Linked DNA regions of Drosophila melanogaster. Each later gene encodes a partner of the first gene's protein in a complex. Each region holds a gene or a part of one and is shown on either strand. Other genes may lie near its edges. The genes, in order: Ciao1 and galla-2. A codon is read from its position in the direction of its gene.

Region 1 (7,073 bases):
GTCCCAAGGAGGAGGACGAGGAGATAGCTAGCGACGATGAGGAGTACAACAGCGATCTGGGCGGCGATGACAACACCTTGGCATTTTCATCCGACGAGGGCGAGGAGGAAACGCCGCAGGACAAGCGCCTGCGTCTGGCCAAACAGTATCTGTCGGAGATCGAGAAGCAAGAGGCGGAACGCGCCGAGGATCGGGAGCTGGCCCAAAGCGTGGAGCAGCGCTTGCAAACGGAATACTTGGATAGCGTGGGCAAACTGCGCCGGAACATTGCTGGCAGCCTGAAAGCCTGCGAATCGAGCCGCATCCTCAAGCACAAACTCCACCACACGCCTATCTGTGCCCTTGCACTCAGTCCGGATGGTAAATTCCTCTACACGGGAGCCAAATCGCAATTCCTACTTAAGTGGTGCACGGAAACGGGGAAGGTGCTGGAGAAATCGGACGTGCTGTCGCATCGCGAGGAACCAGAAACGGGCAAGAAAAGGCGATCGCATGTCATCAGCATATGCCTGTCCTCGGACATGAAGTATCTGGCCTTGGCCGAAGGTGGTCCACACATTCAAATTTGGTGTCCCCAGACGATGAAGCACATTAAGACTCTTAAAGGCCACCGGGATAGTGTGGCAGGTCTGGTCTTTCGCAAAGGCACACATGACTTGTACTCGGCAGCCAAGGATCGATCGGTGAAAATCTGGTCCCTGGATGAGATGGCCTATGTGGAGAGTTTGTGAGTACTATGCTAGTTAATCCCCCTTAATATCAGACATTTAACGAGCTCCTCCTTTCAGATTCGGTCACCAAACGGCAGTAACTAGCATAGATGCACTGAGTCGAGAGCGCGCCATTACCGCTGGCGGTTCGGATTGCTCCTTGCGCATTTGGAAGATCACAGAGGAATCGCAGCTGATCTACAATGGACACAAAGATAGCATTGAGTGCGTTAAGTACATCAACGATGAGCATTTTGTGTCTGGTGGCATGGATGGGTAAGTTGGGAGTCTGGCTAACTAATTCAGTATGGAAGTAACAACACCATTTTACAGAGCAATCGGTTTATGGAGCGCTTTGAAAAAGAAGCCCATTTGTACAACGCAACTGGCGCACGGAGTGGGCGAGAATGGCGTGGCCAACTGGATAACCGCCATTGCTGTGGTGGTCAACACGGATTTAGTGGCAACAGGTGGGAATTGCGCATATTTCTTACTGCGAACTGTAATTAAATATTCATGATTCTAGGTTCTTGTGACGGTTGCGTCCGTCTTTGGCAGACTAATCCCAACGCGCGTAAAATGAACCTAATCCAGAGCATATCCATCGCCGGCTTCATCAACGGACTGGCTTTCAATGCCGATGGCAGCAAGCTGTTTGTGGCCACCGGACAGGAGCACCGCCTGGGTCGCTGGTGGCGACTCAAGGAGGCAAAAAACCAAGTAGTTGTACTCGACGTTAAGTTACAGAGCGCGGCCAGCAGTTAGGTTAACTTCTAAGCTTAAGTAAAGTTGTATAGTTTTTGTAACAAGAAACGGCCTGAAAATATATACATAAAGATCATTTGTATCTTCTACCTGAAGGTTCTTACTTTCAAACATATAAAATTTATTTGTTCTTTATAAACAAGATCAAACGAATGTTTTTGAATTTATTAAATTTGCTTCAGATTGAAATTTAACTCCTTATATTAAAGTAAGGGGTATCTGGTCGTCTATTTCCATTAGCTCAAATATTTTTTCTAAAACCGATATTCGGTTTGTTATAACCGCAAATGGTTCCTTAGTGTTGGCTACTTTCAATAGCTAGTCATGGTCACACTGGCCCTGTTACAAAACAATAAGTGCTGAAATGTTGCCGAAATTAAAAACCGGTGGAGGGTTCTTCTCCTATTTTAAGACTGAAAAGGGCCGAAAACTCGTATTCTACGCGGCGGGAGCCACCACAGTGGGCCTCTTTCTTGGAAACTTCCTGCCGCACACATTCGGCCTGAAATATTACCGCGATTTCGTGCAATGCTACCAGTGGGTGAGAAAACTTTTGGTGACTGGAAGCGATTCTAACATCCCACTTCTTTTCATAGACACGGCGTGGGGCGTCCAGTGCCGGAGGCAGTGCAGCAGCGCCTGGAAAAGGCATTGGATCAGCTGGGCGTGACGCCCTTTGAGCGAAAGTTTGTGAAGCCCTTCACCGTCTTTGGATTCGATGTTTTCCAGGCGGGCACCACTAAGTTTCGATTTGGAGGCGCTTTGGGCATACCGGTGAACTATGGATACGACAGTCTGGAGGAGATTAAGCGGGCAGACATTCGGTTTAGAGACAAACAGATCAACTGGAGTTCTCCCAGCGGAAAACTGCTAGAGGAAGCCATCGTTTTGAATGAGGATGAACAGATTTTCGGTCTTAGCAAGGCTGTTCTGCAGATGCAAACCCATCGGGTACTGCTCAACTCCATCTTTCCCAGCGTCAGCTTTCTTATGGTTTACACCATGGGTCACTACCTCAACCTGCGGCTAGATCTCTTCGCCCGCCATGGAAGCGTGAGTTTTCAACCTCTCTCACTTTTAAAATTTTTTACTGATTTCCGTTTTTCAACTACCAGGTGCGGTTTGTGCTCTACAGCATTCTGGGTCTGTTTGGCTTAGGGCTCTGGTCCTTCATGAAAGACTACAATCAGGTCTCTACGGACGCAGAGATTGACCAGCGACTGGCCACGATGGGTCCCCAACTTGTGGCAGCTGGAGCTAGCTTTTACGACAAACATCTAAAGAAGAACATCGCGCTGAGGGAGCTGATTGGAAATGACGTTTACACTGCACTGGGCAACGAAAACTATATGATTCGGCAAAAGTCCATGCCGCTAACAGCACGAAAATCTTTCTTCCTGGAGAAGCTGGAGGAACTCAAAAAGGCGCAACAGCCTGAAACAGAGTAAACACACATTTATTGTTACATTTTTATTGCCGGTTGAAGAAAATATATATGTTTCCAATAACTTTACAAATATCCTTGTTGTGTAGCCTATAACAGTGGATGATAGTTGTCCTAAACCTAACAAAATTTCGAGTGGATTATCTCGCCTAGGAGTCTCGAAAATTGACTAGAAATCATGTTATAAATCTGGAATGACCAATGGCCAATGCACTTAAAACGCTTCCTCGCCCACAACATCACTGATGGTGGCCACCAGGCGACGTGCATGCTCCACGGCGCATGTGGCGGTTACCAGTCCCAGATGAATGCAATACAACTCGTAGACGCGCACTTTGGCCGGTGACAGCTTGGGGAAGCACAACTCCGCCAGATCGTGGTAATAGTCCATTGTAAGAGCACCTGGTTCTGTTGGGGATTTCGAACCGTTGCCACTGGCTGCTCCTGTGGACAGAAAGTGGTGCTGCAAATCCACGACGGTACTAAGAACGCCACCAGACATGTCCTCGAACCAGAGGAAGTACGAGTAATGGAATGCCTTATCCTTCCACATCACTGTGGTCTGGCCCTTCTTAAGGTAATTTCTCGCGATCTCCACCATGCTCCAGAGTTTTGTCTTTGGCACCAGCTGGTTCGGTCGCAGATCCGGAGCAAGCATTTGTCCTCGGCTGCGATTGACGTACATAAAGTGCACCAGACCCGGAAAATCCTCCAAATAAGCATCAATGGATATGTTACGAGTGGCCTTAACGGCCAGAAATTCAGCGAACTCCAGTAGCTTGGCTTCCACATTCGCTGCCGTATCAGAGAGTTGATCCAGCTCATGGACACTTGAGCTGTCGCAGCAGGCCAGTGTGAATATCTGCTTCAGTTCCTCTCCGAACGAGGGCAAATTCGACTCAATCCTCACGAGCAGCTCCCGCTCAAAGTTCTTGAAGTACTCAGTGTACATCTTGCGAAGATTCTCCCATTTAGCGGCGAACTTCTTCGTGCAGTTCTCTAGGTCATCGGTTTCCGATCGCTGTTTCAGATATCGCTTCAAAGCGGTCAAGGCCTGCACAATAAACGATTCGAGGTTCTCGAAGGCGGGCTTCAGGGCATCCGAATCGCCCTGATGCTGAACAGCCACGATTTTTTGAAGCACAAAGAAGGAATCGTAGATGCAGCTGGTCAGTGGCATGTGGGCGTACTCGATGACCTGCAGGAGAACTTGGTTACCATGGAGACGCGAGATGTGCACGATACTGGGAACGCAGCCAGAGTTCACATCATAGGAGACACCCTGCAGGAATACAGCTACTGCTCGCTGGGAAGGGGACTTTGGCGCTTGCAGGGCGCGTGACATGAGGCTGAGGAAGAGTAGGTCGGCGGCAGCAAGCGGCAGAGCTTGCCGAGTGCTGTTCGCGGCCACCAGCTTGTTGGAAACGAGCAACAGGGCGTGGGCTCGGGGCAGTCCGAGCTGGCGCAAGTGCTCAAGCGTGGCGTCCAGCGTCAGATGCACTGTCCTCTTTAGTTCCGTGTTGATCAGCAGCCTGGGCATGGCCTCCAGCAGGTACGTCTGATCCTCCTCCCACAACAAAGTCTCATAGCAGTCGAGGCACTGCGTCAGCAACTCCTGTTGCATGGCCCCCGCCTGGGCGGCAAACAAATTGGCGCCGTAACAATAGCGCGTCAGCGTAATGGCCACACCCATTTGGCGACCCAGCAGCTCCACGGGTATTTGTCCGATCTTCAGAAAGGTGAAGCCAAGAAGTTCGCCGAACACCAAATTGAAGCCTTGCTCACACTGCAGGCTGGAGTAGGCATTATCGAACTGGCACTGCATTATTCGCTGAGATCCAACGATGGGGCTGAAAATCTGCAGCAGTATGTTGCTGTCCAGGGAGCCGCCGGACTGGAGCAGGCCCTGGGTGGTGGCCACACTCCGGATCTTCTGCGCCAGCGGCTCGTTAAGCTTCTGGTATACAACATCGTTGGCGCTGTTAAACACAATCAGTCCGTTCATTTTCTTATCAGCATTGGCAAAACACCAAATACACAACAAAACTTTCACCAGTGTCACTGGTGCTGGGTAACGGAATTCGGTGTGTGTTCTGATAAGAAAAGGTGAAGACTTCAAGTCAGCATTTAACAACACTAGAGCGATTCAGCTCTGAGCAATTCAACGCTTTTCAAGCCAGAATTATATATTAAAAGCCTAGTATACGTTCGACTTTTTTTATCCGAATTGCCAATTGAAATTGCTTTTAGTTGAGTTACTAAGTATTGAACTGTAATAAGTTTCCTGATCAAATTAATTTATAATTTATAATATATGAATTTTCAAATTTATTGCATTTTTTTATTATTGCAAAGCAATATCGCTTTGCTTAGATATGAAGAACACAATTTTAAAATTTAATTTTATCCCGATTTACAAATTAAGCTAGATGAACGACTTCTGCCGACGTTTGACCACACTGACGACAGCTGACTTTCTTCTTCTTGCGACATGCGCTTATGTTATCATTATTTGGACAGACAGTGATTTGTCCACTAATACAGCACTTGACCATCAATGGGACGTTTAATTCTGGAACACACGCTGCAGGGCCACAAGGGGCGCATCTGGGGAGTGGCATGGCATCCTAAGGGCAACGTATTCGCCTCGTGCGGCGAGGACAAAGCCATCCGCATTTGGTCGCTGACCGGGAACACTTGGAGCACAAAGACCATCCTATCCGATGGCCACAAGCGCACTATTCGCGAGATCCGATGGTCTCCATGCGGTCAGTACTTGGCCTCGGCCAGCTTTGATGCCACCACGGCGATCTGGTCGAAATCCTCGGGAGAATTCGAATGCAACGCAACATTGGAGGGTCACGAAAACGAGGTGAAGAGCGTTAGCTGGTCGCGATCCGGCGGACTACTGGCCACCTGTTCGCGGGACAAGTCCGTGTGGATCTGGGAGGTTGCCGGCGATGATGAGTTCGAGTGCGCCGCCGTTTTGAACCCGCACACACAGGACGTGAAGAGAGTGGTGTGGCATCCAACCAAGGACATTTTGGCCTCCGCCTCGTACGACAATACCATAAAAATGTTCGCAGAGGAGCCCATAGACAACGACTGGGATTGCACAGCCACTCTTACTTCACACACAAGCACGGTTTGGGGCATTGACTTCGATGCTGATGGCGAGCGCCTGGTTTCCTGTAGCGATGACACCACAATAAAGATTTGGAGGGCCTACCATCCCGGAAATACAGCCGGAGTGGCTACGCCCGACCAGCAAACCGTGTGGAAGTGCGTGTGCACAGTGTCCGGGCAGCACTCGCGGGCTATCTACGACGTGTCCTGGTGCAAGCTTACAGGTCTGATAGCGACTGCCTGTGGCGACGACGGCATTCGTATCTTTAAGGAGAGCAGCGACTCCAAGCCAGACGAACCCACGTTCGAGCAGATAACCGCGGAGGAAGGCGCTCACGATCAGGACGTAAACTCGGTGCAGTGGAATCCTGTGGTGGCCGGGCAACTGATATCATGCAGCGATGATGGCACCATTAAAATTTGGAAAGTGACCGAGTAACATAAGGATTATTGTTTGATATATTTAAGTGGGTAATTCTGGAACTTAATTTTTGTACAGTGTCTGCGTAATAAAAAATTAAAGTATTCAAATGATGGATGAAGTGTGTCATACACGATTATGGGATGCATTACACCTAATATGGATTGCTATTTGCTGAGGAACGGTTCCTGCAACGTTTTGTACAGCTTCTTGGCCTTCCGGGGACCCAGTCCCATCACCTGGGAGAGTCGCTCCTCGCTGGCATTGATTATGTTGCCCAGGTTGCCAAAGGTGTGCAGCAAGGCGGCAGCATCAGTCTTGTTCACCGGCTTGATGTTGGTGAGAGCAGCGAGTAGCTATGGACATTGGGATATTGCATTACAGTGGCGATACTGGCAATGTAAACATGCGTACCTTCTGGTGTGGATTAGACTCCACTCGCTCCATGATCAAATCTGGCGGACGCTTCTCGAACTGTTTGTACGTCTCAATGATTTTGCCCGCCTCCTCAGCGTTCCAGGCCAACATCATTGTCAGGTCGGCTAACAGTGATATCCTGGTCAAGCTCTTGAGGGCATTGTTTGGCTCTGGTGTGTCCACCTGGACC
Region 2 (6,259 bases), on another chromosome or scaffold:
ATCTTTGCAGATGTAAAAACATAAAGGTAATTTTATTAACTTTCTAAAAGCAACTTCATTTGCATTTTGTTTTTAAATTAGGCATTTCTAATGCATTTTGAATATGCAATAACTATCAAATTAAGACAAAGACATCTAAATTCAGCTTCGTAATTACATTTAAGCACCTACTTGTTATAATTGTCATTATAATTATAGCGAAAAATTACAGATAGAATGGAAAAAACCGAGGCAAACAATACGTTGTTTATTGTTACATTAAGTCTGGCTGTTTATATTTATATTACTGATTACTTACATTAGAGTAGTGAATAAAATAGCAGTTAGCTACGTGGATGCCATAAATATTTAGTGAATAATTAGCGAAGAGGTGCTTACGTAAATATTCAATGTTTTTTTTTACGGGAAGCGCGAAGTTAAATTGCTCGAATTTATACGGGGAAATCCGTGGAGTCTCGCATTTAAATTGCTGCCTATAACGTGGAAAAATTCTAAAAAAAACTGCAATACAGCTTTACTATAATAACAATTCTCTGTGTACGCCTTTGTCTAGAACACAAATTAAATTTGTTACCAGGAAGCTACTTTAACGCATAAAATTTAGTGCGCTTGAAGGCGTTTAAAATCGGTACAAGGTTCTTAAATTTATTATTACCAACGTGTGTAGAAGTATTATTAACAAATATGAAGTACATTTAAAGCTTCATATATTTCCCTTGAAGTAATATTAAATTATATTACAATTGAATTAATTCTTGGAAGTTTTACCCATAATTAATGCCTGAAATGCAGTAGATACCACTTTTTACTTTGCCTATTATATTAACTGCCTTTTTACAGACAGCCATCCACATAAATATTTATTAAATAATTAACGCCCAGTCTTTTTATATAAGCATGTAAATATTTGTGTTTATTTTAGTTCGTTTCGCTGACTACAAATCTCGTGATGGTCCCATTAGCGACTCTTAACATAGGAAGCCTAGGCCTTAGCTTTCTCCTTGCTTTCCTCGGAACTGGAAGTGGACTTATCCGCGTGCTTGTTCTTCTCGAAGAGCTCGGCCACGGGAATGGGATGGGGGATGTGGAGATTGTGGATGGACGGAGTGGTGCTTTCCAGCTCCGATTTGGTGGTGGATGGGAGATCGGTGGTGGTGGTGGCTTTGGTTTGCGTGGGCACGGGAATATCGCGCTGGTGACGCTGTTCCGGCGCCTTTCCACCGGCCAGAGATTCGATGGCCTTGTGGAGCTCCTGGGATCGCTGGGGATTGTGCTGGAGCGACTCACGGGCCTTCACGCTGTCGGGTTTCTCCACAGTCTCGCGCTTTTCCTGCTTCTTGGGCAGCTCGGCGGTGTGGGCCACAGCGGGCAGGGCATGGGGCAGCGAAAGATCCTCCACCTGAGGACGATCACCTGCCTCATCCTTGTGGCCCTCCTCGTGGTGAGCTTCCCTCTTTTCCTTCTTGTCCTCATGTGTTTCGGGAGCCTGCTTCACTTCCTCCTTATGTGGAGCTGCATCATCACCATGGTGGCCTTCCTCGTGGTGAGCCTCTCGCTTTTCCCTTTTGGCATCATGAGCTTCGGGGGCCTGCTTCACTTCCTCCTTATGAGGAGCCTCATGGTCTTGGTGACCCTCCTCATGGTGAGCCTCTCTCTTTTCCTTCTTGGCGTCATGGTCCTCGGGAGCTTGCTTCACTTCCTCCTTCTGGGGCACTGCATCGTCACCATGGTGACCCTCCTCGTGGTGAGCTTCCCTCTTGCGCTTGTGGTCCTGTGGCCCAGCCGGAGAAGGCTTCTGGTCATGAATAGGAACGGCCGGCTGCGAGTGATGCAGCTGTTCGTGGGCCTCCACGCTGTCGGGCTTCTTGGGTTCATTACGCCTCTGGCGATTCAGGACGGGAGCATCCTTCAGCAAGACTACCTTGGCGGTGGGCTTGGGATCAACGAGCACATCGGGGCTGATGGGACTGGGCCTAGAGAGCTCCTCAGAGGTAGACTCCTTGACATCCAGAGGTGCTGCGTGGCAGAAAGCCACCAGGGCTAAGAGAATAATCTAAGAAAATGTGCAACACAAATAGATTAAAACGTATTTTATATTCAAAAGATAAAATTTATAGCCCTCATTAATTAACCGATTACAATAGCTTGTATGGAAAACTCAGGGATAATCTTCAAGAGAACTGAGATCTTGACTTACAACCGACTTCATGCTGACCGCTTGGAGATGTGACCCAAACTGCTGATCTCAGCCAAGTGGCGACCCATTTTATAAACCCAAATGGGCGACCGCAGGCTTCTCCACTCCGTTGGCAGCGGCTGTTAACCAGTTTGTAATTCGGTGCTAATTGCGAATAGATGCACGCCAAGTGCGCGGAAACCCGTTCACAATGTAAATCTGCTTTTCTACGTTGATATTGATAAGTCTGGCTAATTATAACCCGAGGAAATCGGCGTCAAGTGCGCCGGCTTCTCGGCAACGCTGCTTCTCGTAAAAGCGGCAAAATGGAATAAAAATATGGAAAATAAAAGCGGGTTTGGCCGGCGAAATGGGCTCAAGGCTTAGTCAGCAGCGCAGCCAAGTACGGACTCATCCACATCCACATCTGCTGGCCATTTAGCACTGGCTCGCAAAAAAGTTAAGCTCGGCTAACTTAAGTTAAGTATTCCCGCAGCTAATTTGAAGAGCACATAAATATGGATCGCGAGGCGTCTGTAATTACGCCCTTTACGTAAGATGACAGGTAAACATATCAATTGTGCGATGTTTTCCTGGAAGTGTACGTTGTGATTTGATTGATCTAGTAATTGCCCTGATTTTCTTGAATTTGTATTCAAATAATTCCAACCTTAAAAAAGGCTACTGTCATTAATTAAAAAGATTTCATTAACTAACTTTAATAGCGTAAGATGCGCATAAATGTATAACTAATTAAATGCTCTGTTAGATGAAACTATGAAAATGAGATCAATTTCGAATTCAAATAATGTTGGCGCCCAAAAAGTGTGTGCACACCATAAACTAGACGTGGTGTTATTTTGTATCTTATAGTCTAAAAACTGCGGACACACTGAAAGACATAGCTTATTGTTTCTCTTTGCTCTTCGCCAAAAAAACGTGTAAATAAAGGGTTTTCAAGAAAAGAACAATACAAAATGCCCACGGAAATCGAGAACATCAACCCCAATGTCTACGACAGAATCAAGGAAAGGGTATTAACCGCCAACGAAGAAGACGAAAACGTGCCCGATCCATTTGACAAACGAGAGATTTTCGGTGAGTTCAAAGAAGATAGCTAAGGAATATATCTTATGACTCGCGTATTTCCCAGATCTCATCAGAAATATTAATGACCCGGAACATCCTTTGACCCTGGAGGAGCTGCATGTGGTGCAGGAAGATCTAATCCGGATAAACGATAGCCAGAATTCCGTGCACATCAGCTTCACCCCGACGATTCCCCATTGCTCGATGGCCACTTTGATTGGCCTCTCCATCCGGGTGAAGTTGCTCCGCTCGCTGCCACCTCGCTTTAAGGTCACCGTGGAAATAACGCCCGGCACCCACGCCTCCGAGCTGGCGGTGAACAAGCAGCTGGCAGACAAGGAACGAGTGGCCGCCGCCCTGGAGAACAATCACCTCGCCGAGGTGATCAACCAGTGCATCGCCGCCAAGGGTTAACTACATGATTTTATCCTCGTTTTAGATATATATAAATATATATATAATGATGTTGGTTTAGTAATAATAATTTTGTTTTAAAAGCAGTTTGTGCCTGTTTTCCTTTCCCGAAATTTGGATCGATTTTAATTTTTCAGACATTGTAATGTTTATTATCTTAATTGTTAGTTATTAGTAGGTAGCAATAACATGGACATTCGCCATACATCATTTAATTATTGGGTACTCTTTCTCAGCTGGTTAAGTAGTAATAATAACCTTTTACTCAAATCGAATTGTCTGTCAGAGAAACTAAATTATTTCCTATTTCAAGTTTGCATTCCACGTATGGTTAGGAATCATCATTGTTTTTATGTCTATGACTAGACTTGTTTGGATAGATAAATAATCCAAAATGGTTTTTAAACTATCCAACCAATCTTTATGGTTTGCCATTAAAAACATGTAAATGCTTTGCTTCTACTTCTCTAGTTATTATAATTGCTATTAAATCTTTTATTTATTACCTGAGCCTATGCTAACTAAAAGCTAATAATCGAGGTCAGCAACTTGAAAATTCACACCGGCTTCGATTGATTGATGGTTTTTGATTGCACGGCATTTAAACTGAGACTAATAGTATTTGCTGAGCATTTCCATATTTTTTATAGTAATGCGTTAGCTATCCGCAATTAATTGTATATTTGATTGTCTTTCGGGACCGTATCTTATCTGAACTGAAAACACTCACCAATTTCATTTATAGCTGATCATGTTTTTATATACATTCGTATCTTCCATGACGAGTTTATTTTTACAGCGATTACATCTACCAAAACTTTGTCTCCAACTTCTCAAATCAGGTTTCATCAGCAAGAAGTTTGCCTCTGTACATTTACAAATTATATTTTAGCAGCAAAACGTTCGGATGATGAAGGACTATAGACTAAGGGGTTAAATTAACGTAACAAGACACAGCGCTCAGCGGCGATTACAGGATGGAGGAACTATCCCTGCTTGTTCGGCGGCTCCTTTAGCCGCATGTGCGGCTCCGCGGAAATGGGTTTTGCCACTTTCGTGGGATCGAACTTGTACGTCTTGACCAGCGGACCCTTGCCGGCCTTGGCGAATCGGATCTCGTCCAGGCGCTGTCGCTCCTCGATTTCTTTCGAGATCTTCATGTTGTCCCAGGCTGGAAAAGTCAAAACAGAAAGGTTGTAAATCGAAAGAGGTAAAAGATGAAGCGGGACAGTCCTTGTTACTTACACTCCTTCATTCCGCCGACGAATCCCTTCTTAGGTGGCAGTGCACTGGGCGCATGGGTCAGCATCTTTTCGATCTTGAAGTACTCCCTCACGGAGGGAATCCTTAGCACCGCAACCTGCCCCAACGATATAAAGTTACTGCACGCCCAATAGGTCAAAATGGCAGCGGGGAAGTTCATCGTAAACGGGAAGATAACAATGGGCAGGGCTCTGAGCACATATTTCATGGTGTTCATGTTGGCAGCCGATAAGCGAGCCGAATCCGTTCCGATCTCAATGGTCAGGTACAACGTGGCACTGGTGATTAAGGGCAGTAGATAGAAGGGATCCGCCATTGTGAGATCCGTGAACCAGAAGAGTCCGCCATCCCGCATTGATTCGACCGGCGCGTTAGCCATCTGTCGCAGTCCCATGAAGAAGCTAATGAAGAGCGGTGCCTGGGCCAAGGGAACTACCATGTTCTTGAGCGGATTGACACCCTTCTCCCGCATGAACAGCATCATTTCCTGGGCATAACGAGCGGACTCAATGGCGTTTCCCGACTGCCTGGCCTCGGTCATTTTCAGCTGCAGCATCTGCATCTGCGGCATATTGTTGTTCATCTTGGCAGAGTTCCTTTGGGCCAAGATGACCAATGGAAAGATTATGGTTCGCACTGCGAGTGTTCCAATGGCGATGGTTCCCCACCAGGGAATATCCCACGTGCAGTGCAAGAATTCCAAACAGTTCTGTACCATGCCCACCGGAGACCAGCCGCCCAAGCCAATGGAGGCGAAGGAGGGTTCGCCAGCGGCATTCATCACATCCATTACATTCAGACCATCGGCGGGTGGAGGCACTGGAGCGGCGGGTATGTCCGGCAGATCCACTAGTTCCGTTTTCGGCACAGCCTGCATGAACTCCTCGCCTTTGGTGGCTGAAACTCCCGCTGCAGTTGCTCCACCGCTGGCGAAACGAAGCTGGCCGAGATTGGACCATTTTTCGGGGGCCGCTAAGGGCAGACTGCTGCCCCTGGTAATCCTTTGGAGGTAGAGATCTCTCCTGCTGCCCGTGGATGCCTGGCAAACAGAGTTTTCATTGAAATTTGCGTACATTTTCGAACACAAACATTGGCCAACTTGCAGGTTATGTCACAGGTCGCCGGCTCTTTTTCAATGATCTTCACTCACCTGTGGGGTGAAACGGCCGGCTGCGGAAGTCATGGCCATTGCCGCGTTTGTTGTCCTCCAAAGCTGCATCCTGTGGGCCAACATTTTCCGCGCAGCGCTCGTAATTTGGTCAAAATAAAATTAAATGATAAAATTCGCCTCGTTTTGAGCTAGGCGAGTGCGAGCGA

Evidence for each region.
Region 2: the proteins of Ciao1 (region 1) and galla-2 are in contact, whole or in part, in a crystal structure (PDB 6TBN), measured with the Drosophila melanogaster proteins. Residues at the interface, in NP_610996.1 of Drosophila melanogaster: Arg16 (codon at 5,522), Trp18 (codon at 5,528), Arg60 (codon at 5,654), Thr61 (codon at 5,657), Arg63 (codon at 5,663), Phe79 (codon at 5,711), Glu105 (codon at 5,789), Lys107 (codon at 5,795), Arg123 (codon at 5,843), Asp150 (codon at 5,924), Lys152 (codon at 5,930), Tyr168 (codon at 5,978), Asn170 (codon at 5,984), Ser195 (codon at 6,059), Thr196 (codon at 6,062), Trp198 (codon at 6,068), Thr216 (codon at 6,122), Ser248 (codon at 6,218), Gly249 (codon at 6,221), Gln250 (codon at 6,224), His251 (codon at 6,227), Ser252 (codon at 6,230), Arg253 (codon at 6,233), Tyr256 (codon at 6,242), Gly272 (codon at 6,290), Asp273 (codon at 6,293), Asp274 (codon at 6,296), Arg277 (codon at 6,305), Glu299 (codon at 6,371), Gln304 (codon at 6,386); in NP_648416.1 of Drosophila melanogaster: Ser74 (codon at 3,428), Pro106 (codon at 3,524), Lys109 (codon at 3,533), Thr111 (codon at 3,539), Ala124 (codon at 3,578), Lys127 (codon at 3,587), Gln128 (codon at 3,590), Asp131 (codon at 3,599), Lys132 (codon at 3,602), Glu133 (codon at 3,605), Arg134 (codon at 3,608), Ala136 (codon at 3,614), Ala137 (codon at 3,617), Glu140 (codon at 3,626).

What each region holds. Positions count from the first base shown.
Region 1 is NT_033778.4:14,853,363-14,860,435, reverse strand, and holds Ciao1 (Ciao1), read left to right. Parts: upstream 1-5,387; 5' UTR 5,388-5,476; coding exon 5,477-6,484; 3' UTR 6,485-6,573; downstream 6,574-7,073. Other genes in the region: U3-55K (U3 small nuclear riboprotein factor 55K), read left to right, coding at 1-727, 789-986, 1,044-1,180, 1,237-1,475; CG33506 (uncharacterized protein), read left to right, coding at 1,840-2,012, 2,072-2,528, 2,591-2,923; HPS1 (Hermansky-Pudlak syndrome 1), read right to left, coding at 3,134-4,924; Ercc1, read right to left, coding at 6,634-6,822, 6,881-7,073. UniProt on the Drosophila melanogaster protein: Essential component of the cytosolic iron-sulfur (Fe/S) protein assembly machinery. Required for the maturation of extramitochondrial Fe/S proteins.
Region 2 is NT_037436.4:10,879,810-10,886,068, forward strand, and holds galla-2 (galla-2), read left to right. Parts: upstream 1-3,080; 5' UTR 3,081-3,153; coding exon 3,154-3,274; intron 3,275-3,329; coding exon 3,330-3,679; 3' UTR 3,680-3,764; downstream 3,765-6,259. Other genes in the region: CG6409 (uncharacterized protein), read right to left, coding at 983-2,053, 2,198-2,209; OXA1L mitochondrial inner membrane protein, read right to left, coding at 4,666-4,850, 4,925-5,981, 6,093-6,176. UniProt on the Drosophila melanogaster protein: Component of the crb-galla-Xpd (CGX) complex which is essential for proper mitotic chromosome segregation in early embryos. The CGX complex is also required for cell proliferation in developing wing disks.